3 linked regions of the Xenopus tropicalis genome follow. The protein of the gene in region 1 binds, or shares a complex with, the protein of each later gene. Links are inferred from orthologs where the notes say so. Each region holds a gene or a part of one and is shown in the gene's direction. Other genes may lie near its edges.

Region 1 (4,394 bases):
GCTCTTTCATTTTTTTGGTGTTACTGTTCCTTTAATTAACAACACTGAAAGACCTAGAAATGATCTTCAGTTCTGCTGATCTTCGTAACGGAAAGAAACAAAAGGATCTGACCAATCAAGCCTGACCTCTCACATTATGGGAAGAACAAAGTAATTAGAAAAAGTTTAAGGGCTCTGGCACACGAGGAGATTTGTCGCCGGCGATTTTTAAAAGAGCGATTTGGCGACAAGACGCCAATGCTAAACCAATGGAAATCGCCAGCGTCAAAACATACGAGGCTACTTCAAGTCGCCTGCTGTTTCAAATCGCGCACAGACCCTTTTCTGAGCGACTTGAGTAAACATGTGGGGGGGGGGGGGGGTAACTGTTGAGTGTACCATGGGTAGCAGATCGCCTGGAGCTCAACTCGCATGAAATCTCTTCGTGGGTATTGTCGTGGCGACTTGCCGCCAAAGCGCCTGGTGGAAAAAACGCAGGCAACAAATCTCCTCGTGTGCCAGAGCCCTAAAAGGGAAAGAGGAAAAGGATGGAGGGATTTAGTAACAAAAACAACAAAGCCACAGACAAGCTTTGAGACCCAAAGAAAAAAAATCAAATAAAGAAGAAAAACAACACATATGGTCAAAATTGACGATTATAAGTATAGGGATAAACAGATTATCTATGGTACTGGCAGCACTTGTGTCACCTCTTACTGCAGCTTCAGCCTGTACAGCAGCAACGCCCCTAAAAATGACACAACTGCATTACAAATATGTTGCCAACCTCCAATAAATGGCTATTAGCTGTGGGGAAGCGATGGCAGTGGCACAAACAGCAGAATCTCACTCCTGCCCAACACTCATAGAGAAACCGCGGCCATACTAAACCCGAGTGGGCGGGGCTTAACAACTCAAGCCTCTCTATGGGCGCGGCTTTTCATTTCACTATAGCTTCCTGGATTTGCGTTCCAAGCCTCGGTGTGACGGAATCCGTCCTACGATAGCTCTGTGCGGAAGAACCCCGCAAGTCACTGTTGAAGACAGACCGGAAGTTCCGGCTGGTGGAGGCAGCAGCTGTCTGTGTTTAGGGGTTTGGGCTGGAGCTGTGTCAGTGTAGCGGTCTGCGAACTGGGCTTGAAGACACAGAAAGGGGCGGCCTGTTGTGGGGGGGACACAGGGCTGCCTTTGGGGGATGTGTATGGGCAGTTGGGCGGGTACATAGGGGCAGGGCTGAGTTATGTTATGAAGAGCTGCCAGAGGGTATATAGTGGGGCCTGTTCTTGTGGGTGGGTTATAGGGCCCTATGAGGTTAACCTGTAAGGTTTAGGGAGGATATAAGGGCTATTATTAATTCTGTGTATAGTACTGTAAGTATTACATCTGTGGGTGCTAGAGGGATTATAGGGACCTTAATTAATTTGTATGTATACTACTGTAACTTGAGAATAAGCTGTGAGTGCTTGTGGGGTTCAGTTGGCGGTTATATTTATACAGAGACCCTGGTCAGGTTTGATAGGATTCATTACGTTATAAGGGGGGGGGTCTCTTGTTGGCTGTTTACGTGGGACACTAAAGTAGCGCCATCATTAGAAAACCTTGATTACTTTGAATGGTTACATTAAGAGCCAAGTGTAACAACAGGCGAAACTAGATATTTAGGGATCATAGTCTCTTTTTGTTTTGATCTTGGGGGAGGCCCCCAACTTTTTCTTTTTTTAGATATCATTTTTGGGTCCCCTTGATCAAGGGGTCCCCGCGCCATCTGTGAAATTGGGGGTGGCACCAAGCATCCCGAGGATTGGAGGGGTGACTGCGGGAGGCCCTGGGATGAAAGGGAAGGAGGAGGGAGGCGGAGGACGCCCCTCGGGGGTTAGTGGGGGTTCTGGCGGCACCGGAGGTAGCCCTGAGAAGAGTGTCAGCGCCCAAGAGCTGAAAGAACAAGGCAACAGACTGTTTGTGGCCCGGAAATACCAAGAGGCTGTGTCCTGTTATAGCAAGGCCATTGTAAGTATCACATCTCTAACCAATGTGTATATGGTATATTTGTATATAATGATGCCAGGGCACATATTTCATTCCTTGCATAGAACAGTGCTGGCCAGTGTTTCCCAGCCTGATATTAAACTAATACAAAGAAGTCTATGAATGTCTTTGGGCAATCCTAGGGCCTTCACTTGCACAGTATTGGTTTAGAATATACCAAGTGCTTTCAGATTTAGGGCAAGTGGTTAGGGGTTTCCCCAAAGACTTATAGGGTTAAATAGTAGACATTGAGTGCTAAGGTGCATCAAGTCTGCTCCTCACCCAACAGGTCTATGTAGGCTCGTGTTATGACCTGTTTATTGGCCCAGTGGCCAGAAGAATAGATCAACCCTATTTGGCCCAGCATAAGGGCGACCAAACAAGCAGGTATATGAGTGTGCAGCCCACTTTAGTTGCCGTTGTCTCTTAAAACCTTATTCAACAACAGTGCTGCCCCGGAGTGTTACTAAGCTGCAACTCCAACAAAGTGTGAATCCTGACTGTTCTGTATACGCCCATCCTGTTCCTGTTCCTTTTTTTCCTGTAATACTTCCTAATACTTCACCTTCCTGATATTTTATTAAAGTGAGCTATTAGCAAGCCCATATTACTCAGTGCTCTCTCTATGTTAGAGCACAACAAGATGGCTGACATCATGCTGGTAGGGGGGGGATTATCATTGGAACATTCTTTTGCATATTTATTTTTTTGGGCAACCTCCTTTGCAGAATCGGAGCCATATATGGGAGGGTTATTGGACCGCCTATAAGTGATTGTAGTGCAGTCTTCCAAAGCAACCAGTCTGCAATTATTTCTACAAGATAGAAAACAAAAGCAAAGATCTGACTGTTAGCTATGGATGAATGCAGTTTACAGTTTCATGGGTGGGTGTTAATGTAGCAACTGGTCACACACAGTAGAAATTGTATAAGAAAATGGATCACAACCAGTGCTTCTTATTCTCTATATATTGTTAATGGTGAGCTTTTCCTCTCTGGCCCTCTCTGTAGACCCGAAACTCCTCCATTGCCGTGTATTACACTAACCGGGCGCTATGCTACCTGAAGATGCAGCAGCTGGACAAGGCCCTGGCAGACTGCAAACATGCCTTAGAGTTGGACTGCCAGTCAGTGAAGGCCCACTTCTTCCTGGGGCAGTGCCAGATGGAACTAGAGAACTATGATGAAGCCATTGCCAATCTACAGAGAGGTAAGCCACTGGGCCGCGCTTATTAAGGGGGCCACACACAGGCTGCTGATTGTCCTTTAGACTGATTAGTCAGCTTAACTGCCCCTGAATGGGGCCCCCCCAACGGGCCTCCCTGACTGGCTGAAAACCGGCCATGTGTCAATTGGGCAGGTTTGAGTCTCACGTCGGATCGATGACACATCGGCTCATTGATGTTGTCCTTGGCCCCACGGCTCCTATAACCCATTAAACAAACCACCCCAGGGTACTTTCCTGTAGCACACAGGGCTGCCATCTCTTTCTTTGCTCCCAGGTACCCGTCATGCTGCCCTGAGCAGATACCTGTGAAGTACAAAACTTCTTTAGCAATTGTGTCCACTTACGATTGGCTGGGACCTGGGGAAAAAAAGATGGCGGCACCAAGCTGCGCATATGCAGCATTTTTTTAAAGAAGGGAAAAGCCGGACCAGGATAATAGGTCATGGATTTTATTGTAACAGATTGGTGCCACCCCCTACCAATGATTTTTACTTTGCGTTCACCTTTATCCAATAGAATAAAACGCAGCATATGCCCTAAAAATGGCTTAGGGCTCTGGCACACGGGGAGATTAGTCGCCCGCGGCAAATCTCCCTTGTCACGGGCGACTAATCTCCCCGAACTACCATCCCACCGGCAAAAATGTAAGTCGCCGGTGGGATGGCACACGCTGCGCAGACGATTTCGGCAAATCGCCGAAGTTGCCTCGCGAGGCATTTTCGGCGATTTGCCGAAATCGCCTGCGCAGCGTGTGCCATCCCACCGACGACTTACATTTTCACCGATGGGATGGCAATCCGGGGAGATTAGTCGCCCGCGAACAGGGAGATTTGTCGCGGGCGACTAATCTCCCCGTGTGCCAGAGCCCTTATAGTGCCTGTGCTATTTGTGGAGCAGAACTCCTGATATCTGTTTAATTGCAGAAGAGCTTACGCAGCAACAAATGATATTTGTTTGTTTACCCCGGCGGACTTAGTGCTGCCTGACAGCAAGAGTATATTTAGGTCATGAACCAGCTTGAAAAACAGGAACACCGAGGCCGGGCACACAGGTTTAGCAAGGCGTTAGCTCTTGGACACACTCTGACTTCCAGAAGCTTTAGATTCCCTTGAAGGTGACACGTGCGGGAAGCCCCAGATAGCGAGGCAGATTGTTGTACTCTG
Region 2 (4,371 bases), on another chromosome or scaffold:
GCACCAAGTCAACTACCTGGTTTGGGGGCACTGAGAGCAACATCCAAGGGGTTGGTGAGTGACAGGTTGCCCCTGAGCCACTGGTTGGGGATCACTGCTCTACATGATACAATGGCGTTCTTGACATATGAATGCTCCCTATTTTGTGGCAAAAGATTGAGGATGACCTTTCCTGTTTCAGCCTTATAATTACCCTATGCATAATATGAGGTCCATACAGAATTGGTATGAATTGGCTAAAATGGGAGAGGAAGAACTTGAATGGTCTGCAGCAAGCCCTGACATCAATCCAACTTAACATATGTGGCAAGAATTGGAATGTTGACTGTAAGCCAGGCCTTATCCCTAACATCAGTGCAAAGTACATATGAATGGAAGTAAATCCTATCCAAAACCAGGGCACCCAAGGTACTCTGCCTAGAGCAGCAGCAGCTTTTGGGGGCGTCCCTTGGATGTCTATATCATAGATTTATTTAAATAAAAAAACTCACCTGCCACCGGAGAGTTCCTGCATAAAACCAGTGATGGAGCTAGGGGGGGTGAGAGGTACATGATGCGGAAATGACATCCCGTGTAGGCTGCACGTGGCATCACTTCCGCAAACTGGGGGCTCATTTAGGTCTGGTGTCTAGGGTGGCACTGGACCTAAATACAGCATTGCCAAGTAGCTACTAGTAGATCCCCCAACTAGAATCAAATTAAAAACTTCCCAGTACAGCAGAGGGTTAAGGATGTTCTAGCAGCAAAGAGAAGAAAATTTTAATTAAATACATTTCAATAAGATGGTGTATATAAAGTGCCAAAATACTGCTTTGCAGCCTGCATTGGTCTGTATCTCAAAATCCTATTCATGCAAAGGGTGCTCTAGAAATAGAATGGAAAAGAATGTCAATTTTCCAAAATTGCCTAAGGGTTTACTTGCCCTTTAAAGGGGAAAACTAAATATATGCCAAGCATGCATCAAAATAAGGCTTGTACTGCAAATTAAAAGTTAAGTATGGGTTATTTAACCCATACAGAAAGGTACCAGTTAAAGGTAAAATGAAGTCTATATATAATATAATTTGTACAGTACAAAATATGCAGAATGAATAAGGCATTAGAAACAACTTAATGGAATTTATCCAATGGAGGGGGTGACCTTGTTTTATAAGAGTTTAATTTAATAACAAGTATAAAATGACACAGCCTGTGGTTTTCTCTAAATACAAATGTCGACGCGATGGGGGGATGGAAGACGCGAGAGGAATCAAGGAGGGGTCAGCAGGAGAAGGCAGTCTAAAATTGGATACCCTTAGTAATAGGTCCAGTCTCTTCTGGGAGTCATCAGCTGTTACAAAAGCAGATTCTTGTAGGGTGTTTCATAAGCTTCAAATACCCAGCTGACAAGCTACAGGCAGCAAGCATTAACAGGCAGATATAAATAGGAGCCAGTGACTGCAGCACAGAAGTTTACAGAACTTTCTCGACTGATGGCACCAGTGTTTAATAGACTTACTGGCAGCCACACGAGTCAAAGGATCAAGGCACCTCTCTTCTTTTCAATGAGTCTGCTCAGATCCAGAAAGATTTTAGATTGCTTTTAACTGATTTAATTCCACAGCTACTCTTTTTTTCTGGTTATTTTTTATTTTTTTTTGCTATTAAAGCATTCGCCAAGAGGCTGCACTGCCTGAAGATTATTCTGCCTGTACGGAAATTACAATAACCATAATCAGGTTGACATTTTCCAGTCACAGCTAAAGAAAAATAATGGCTGACAGTCAGTTACCCTTCACCTGCCATTACCCATCTAACAGACACAGGGGAAGCCGTGATCCTTTTCGAGAACAAGGACTGTCATCTCGCCTTCTTGATGAAGATTTTGGCATTCCACCTTTTTCAGATGATTTAACCATGGACTGGCCAGATTGGGCAAGGCCCAGACTGACTTCTGCCTGGTCGGGCCCTTTAAGATCAGGCTTGGTGAGATCAGGGATGCCCCCACCCGTATATAATTCCAGATACACGGGTTATCCTGACGCTCGTAACACTGTAGCAAATATCAGCCAGCCATGGAAGGTCTGCGTAAATGTGCAAACTTTCAAGCCAGAGGAGCTGACAGTTAAAACGAAGGATGGCTTTGTAGAAGTTTCAGGTTAGTAACAATATATACATATACACATGTTCTTTGCTTCACTGATCATTTAGTTAGGCTTATCTGGGGTTTATTTACAAATGTAAGTATAGGATGCAAAGATTTTTACCCACAATGCAGCATTTCCCACCACAAATGTTGCATAATTGTGGCAGTGAAAGAGTCAGTATTGGCACTTAGCATAAAAAAGATGTATGTATATGATTCTTTAGGAGTTTAGCAAGTCTACTGCACCTATTAACACAGCCTGTAGTGGGGACCATGGAATTAATGCCACTTTCCGGGTGGCAGTAGCACACTTGAACCTATTAAGCAATTAGGAACAGAAGGTGGGCACTGATGCACTCGTGCCAATGCGCAACTATAGGGTTTTGTGTGCTAAAAGCTTAATCGTCTGACAAAAAGACTTCAGAGTTAATTTATTACTACTGGCATAAGCTTTGACCTATCATTTAATCCATGCATTACAGAATAGAAAAAAGGAAATAATAGAATTACTAATAAGAACATCTAGGCATAGCAAGCAGATAATAATCTGCATATACTGATAATATTTGCCTCAGAACAGCAAAGCAACTAACTAATTTGGGGGTTGTGTATGGGCAATGCTCCAGAAGTCCCAGATTGCTAGGGATTTTAGGGAACTGTAGTTCACCTACAGATAGAGGCCTGTCTCGGACATAATTTAAAGGGATTCTGTCATGATTTTTACAGTGTAGTTTTTATTTCTAAATTACACTGTTTACATAGCAAATAATTCACTCTACCATTTAAAATTTTATTCTTGAACCAACAAAGGTGTTTTTTAGTTCTACTATTGGTGTGTAGGCGCCATGTGCCTGAGTCTGAGCTTTCAGAAGGAGCCAGCGCTACACATTGGAACTGCTTTCAGGCAACCTATTGTTTCTCCTACTCCCATGTAACTGGAGGAGTCCCAAGCCTGACTTGGATTTCTTACTATTGAGTGCTATTCTGATATCCACTGGGAGCTGCCATCTTGCTGCCTTCCATTGTTCTGCTGATCGGCTGCTGGGAGGGAGGGATATCACTCCAACTTGCAGCTCAGCAGTAAAGTGTGACTGAAGTTTATCAGAGCACAGGTCACGTGGCTGTGGCACCCTGAGAAATGAAGAATATGGCTAGCCCCATTTCAAATTTTAAAATTAAATATAAAAAATCTGTCTGAAAAACAGATGCAGATGCAGATTGCAGATTCTGCTGGAGAAGCTCTATTAACTGATGTGTTTTAAAAATGTTTTCCTATGACAGTATTCCTTTAATGATAAAGAAAAGTTTTTTGTCAGGGGGCTAACATTATCAAGTACACTAAAAGTGCACTACTTCGTTGGTGGATTATTAGCACTGGACAGTACTGAAACTGGTGGCAATCGATGGTGACTTTGCAATATCTTTACCCCAGCCTAGCAGTGTGCAGAATGTTACACTGGGGGTTAAAGCCAATATGGCTTCAGGCTAGTGGATTTATGTGTTCCAAGTGTGTGACATATGTCTTGTCAAGTCTTCATCACACACATCTTAAACTCACTCATATCCTTATACAGAATGCAATGTGGTTACAGCAAAGCATGCACAAAACACTATTTACTAGATCATGCTAGCACAGTAGTTCTCAAACTGTCAGGCTGTCTCTGTGAGGCAGTTGATGAGGGGGGCACTTGAAGGTCAATAAGGATAAAATGTGGGGTAAATGTACCTGTGATGTATATCTCTCTGCCTACAGTAAGGGGACTGTTTCTGCTAAGGCAGATATTCACAATTTGCGGGCCATGGAAATAAGACAGCATGCAGAAATAGGGCGGCACCAGTACCTGAAACAATGACCTGTTCCCTGTGTCTACACTTGTACTTTTCATTCCTTCAGGCTCAGTGCATCAACTGGGCCACATGGTGATTGGTCAATTTGACAAGAGGTTTAAAGTTGAACTTCCTGTCATCTTTCTGTTGCTATAGCAAAAAAGGAAAGGCCCTTTGGGAGATGGGCAGAGAAGGAGAGCAGAAGACTTAAAGAAAGAAGAGAAGGAAATAACAAAAAAGGCTAGGGAATAAATAGTTACATAGTTAAGTTGGGTTGAAAAAAGACCAAAGTTCATCAAATTAGCCCTTCCAACTGAACCCTAGACAATGTGAAAGGAAGCGAGACTGGGATATACAGTAAGAGGTACTTTGAAAAACAAAGAGGTAATACTATATTGAATTAAACCAAACAGAACATA
Region 3 (3,633 bases), on another chromosome or scaffold:
TTACTGCTGAGCTGCAAGTTGGAGTGATATAACCCCCTCCCAGCAGCCGATCAGCAGAACAATGGGAAGGGAGCAAGATAGCAGCTTCCTGACACCTGTATTGCTTAAAGTGGTAGATATCAGAATAGCACTCAATAGTTGTGGATAACCTTGAAGGCATACAATATAACTGTTATAGGGCTGCTAAACCTTTGGGTTGGTCCAGTAAGTTCATTATATATATATATATATATATATATATATATATTATTTCTAGCCATAAATTTTTTTTTTTTTTTTTACTTTAACGAAAACTTGTGCATAGATTATTTTTATGCTAAAAGCACTGATGGCATTTTAATGCTGCATACTTTCTTGGGAAGATCATCTCATAGGCGCCATTATCTCAATTGTCTATAATGAGGAGGTATTTCAAATTATTTCTCGCATTCTTTCAACTTGTTCTTCCCAAGAGTACATACAGGTGGCAACCAAATGGCAGACGTGCTGTTAGACTTAATGTATCAAACATATCTTAGATGACAAAAAAAGACTCTCATCCAAACATTAGTGTACATCCTTGTAATACATTTCTATTTTTGCTGCAGTGCAAGTACAGGTATGGGACCTGTTATCCAGAATACTCAGGACCTGGGGTTTCCGGATAAGGGGTCTTTTCATACCTTGGATCTCCATATCTTAAGTCTACTAAAAATAATTTAAGCTTTAAATAAACCCAATAGGATTGTTTTCCCTCCAATAAGGATTAATTATATCTTAGTTGGGATCAAGTACAAGGTACTGTTTTATTATTAAAGAGAAAAAAGAAATCATTTTTAAAAATTAGAATTATTTGCTTATAATGGAGTCTATGGGAAATGGCCTTTCTATAATAAGGAACTTTCTGGATAACGGGTTTCTGGATAACTGATCCCATACCTGTACTTTATTGATCAGAATATAGTTTCTAGACATACCATATTCCTGTAGTGCAGAGGTTGTTGGGCGTATTTGGCCAGGCCCTCCTATTAATATAACTGACCGCTAAGCTGTACTTCCAGGCATACCCAAATCTGTTGCTAACTGGCTTTCAGGCTGGCCCCACTAAGCACACTTTGACCACCAAAGGAAGGCAGCACCACAGTTTGGGAAAAGTTGTCAGAGTAGTTAAGCTTACCAACTCCCCTTTTTTTAAAAAGTCTTCTATCTGCTATGTGTCACATGGATCTAATCAATATGTTGTCTGCCGGTGGGATGGCATTTCGGGGAAATTTGTTGCGGGCGACTAATCTCCCTGCGTGCCAGAGCCCTTATGCCAAGTTGAGGTAGCCTGAATATCCAGAAAATAACCACCCTGTTCACTTTGGTTTGCAAAAATGAAATGGTATAAAATATTGGTCGAAAACTGTAATGACCCTACCCCTTAACATATAACAAAAATGATGGTTAACCAGTTAAACACTGATGACGAAGTAATGATCTTAATCATGAAATCAGATTTCAGTATTTACATTTTGGCCACAATTAAAATGTTTACATTTTAATGTATTAGTTGAAGTACAGCAGTATGATCTCTAATGATTTTCTTTTTTCTTTAGTTTTGGTCTTAGCAACAAGTTTGAAGCAGAATTCCCTTCTTCCTTAACTGGCAAGGTATGTGTCAAAAACAAAGTTTAAAGACAAACAATTTGCTTTCTTTAATACTGTTCTCATACTTAGTAACATTTTCCCCCCTTTCCAGGTAGCACCTGAAGAATTTAAATCTAGTATTAACAGAGTCAACAGTTGTCTTAAGAAGAATCTTCCAATTAATGTCCGCTGGTTACTTTGTGGATGCCTTTGCTGTTGCTGTACATTGGGCTGCAGTATGTGGCCAGTTGTTTGTCTAAGTAAAAGAGTAAGTTGACCAATTCTTGGCTTCTTGATTTTGTCTTACAGCTTAATCATGTAATGTGCTACTGTGTTCTTATTAATAATTCTCTTATTCCACAAGGCTTTGTTGTAATATGCTTTTAAAGAGGGCATATTTCTCTTCATACCTATCTTCAATGTATTTTCTTTCATACCCAAAATTTGCTTATAGCTGATGTACTTTCCTTTTCTTTATATTTGTTATTACAATCTCATACTCCTAGCTTGTGGTGCCACTGAGAGGCAGTGCATATTACCCCTAATTACAATTAGTAAATGGGTTAAATAGCTTTTAGTTAAAAGGTGTTACATTTCTGCAGAGATGATTCCTGTAATGAGGTTGGGAAAAAAGGTTACGAACCATTGTGCACATCTTATTTTGAATTTTACTAGAGCTAACACCATTTGGGTCTTTGTAGAAGTATACATTTTGCTTATTTATAATTTCAAGAGAATTAACTTATATGCAATATGGCTCATATGAAGATTTCCACTAGGTATATAGAGTTCTGGCAGCCTTACTTAATTAGCTTTCCACTAATGTGTTATTCACTTTCTGTAACACTTAAAACGTGTTCTCTTAGGGGACAATGGATGCTGCATGTTTGGGCAGGTAAAATGTATGGTGGACAAAACACTCCATATCTCTTATGTATAAATGGCTGTTCCTTTTACATGTGGGTCTAAGCAATTGCCATTTAAATAAATAAGGAAGCATTTCCAGATGATTTATTGTCTGCCCCCAGGCTATTAAACACTTGTGCAACAATATGTGGTGGAATGCAGGGGAACACAGGGCAAAATGCCCATGTGTAAGGGCCCTTAAGGGAGGCCTTAACTCTTTACAAAGCTTTCCCATGTGGCTGGTAATCTCTAAGGTAGATGGTTTAAAACATAATTACAGATTCAAGGAAGTTCACGTATGAGAATACTGCTTATAAGAACTGTCAGCCACCTTGCTGTTATGTTAAACCAGAAATTTATGTTAAACTTAACTTTTATTATCTTATAATCAAGAGTAAATGGGAACTATTAGAAACTCAGAAGCCCATATTGTGCTGTATAATTAGATTTTTAGCATTTTTTTTTGTAAAGTAAAAGTAAGATACACACACATTTGTCTTAACAGTTTGACCTCCCAGTAAATACCATTTTTTTTTCTTCACCTATAAAGACTTTTTGTTATACTTCCCCTTTAACATTTTAAGTGCAACCAAAGAGCCACCCAGAAATGTAGAATTTGTTGCAGGAAGTCTGATACTAATAAGTGGGCATCATGGATTCTACATTTCCAGGTGCCTAATCAACATATTGGTTTCATGGCAGCGGGTGTAATAAATCAAACATCCCACCATATCACCATGAGGGATAAGCAACTTCGTATTTGGCTTCTTTTTTGTAATTTCTTATGTTTTGAATTATTTGCCCTTCAGCTCATTGCCCCTTTAATCTGGAATTTTAAATGCTGTTTTCCGAGGTCAGTGGCCCTAGCTTAGCATTCAGTATAAAGCTTAATATTTGTCTTTTTATTATGGTTTTTTTCATATAATTTCTTAGAAAATTCCATACTGTTGAGTAGCACTACTGCTAAGGGCATTGAATTGGTCTGTGCTAAAAGTTAATTTTAAGTTTCCCTTTGCCTACTTGACGTACAGTTTCACATAAGGAAAGCCGGGAACTATTTTTGCCTTTGAGTTAGGAAAGCATTTGCTTTGCATGTGATAATGATAATCACTTCAGATG

Evidence for each region.
Region 2: stub1 (region 1) and hspb8 share a complex: the UniProt entries of both Homo sapiens proteins name them as parts of the chaperone-assisted selective autophagy (CASA) complex. The link is inferred for Xenopus tropicalis from reciprocal best matches to the Homo sapiens genes STUB1 and HSPB8.
Region 3: the proteins of stub1 (region 1) and chic2 are in contact, whole or in part, in a crystal structure (PDB 8SUV), measured with the Homo sapiens proteins. The link is inferred for Xenopus tropicalis from reciprocal best matches to the Homo sapiens genes STUB1 and CHIC2. Residues at the interface, in NP_005852.2 of Homo sapiens: Lys30, Asn34, Phe37, Tyr49, Val61, Asn65, Leu68, Leu71, Val94, Lys95, Phe98, Phe99, Gln102, Arg128, Asn130, Phe131, Gly132, Asp134, Ile135; in NP_036242.1 of Homo sapiens: Leu156, Pro157, Lys158, Thr159, Pro160, Ile161, Phe162, Arg163, Pro164, Asp165.

The regions. Positions count from the first base shown.
Region 1 is NC_030685.2:14,818,685-14,823,078, forward strand, and holds the start of stub1 (E3 ubiquitin-protein ligase CHIP), read left to right. Parts: upstream 1-1,550; 5' UTR 1,551-1,809; coding exon 1,810-1,986; intron 1,987-3,014; coding exon 3,015-3,213; intron 3,214-4,394. Other genes in the region: linc02867 (uncharacterized protein LOC100145131), read right to left, coding at 379-381. UniProt on the Homo sapiens protein: E3 ubiquitin-protein ligase which targets misfolded chaperone substrates towards proteasomal degradation.
Region 2 is NC_030677.2:165,806,163-165,810,533, forward strand, and holds the start of hspb8 (heat shock protein beta-8), read left to right. Parts: upstream 1-1,509; 5' UTR 1,510-1,752; coding exon 1,753-2,137; intron 2,138-4,371. UniProt on the Homo sapiens protein: Involved in the chaperone-assisted selective autophagy (CASA), a crucial process for protein quality control, particularly in mechanical strained cells and tissues such as muscle. Displays temperature-dependent chaperone activity.
Region 3 is NC_030677.2:39,930,548-39,934,180, reverse strand, and holds part of chic2 (cysteine-rich hydrophobic domain-containing protein 2), read left to right. Parts: intron 1-1,577; coding exon 1,578-1,632; intron 1,633-1,720; coding exon 1,721-1,876; intron 1,877-3,633.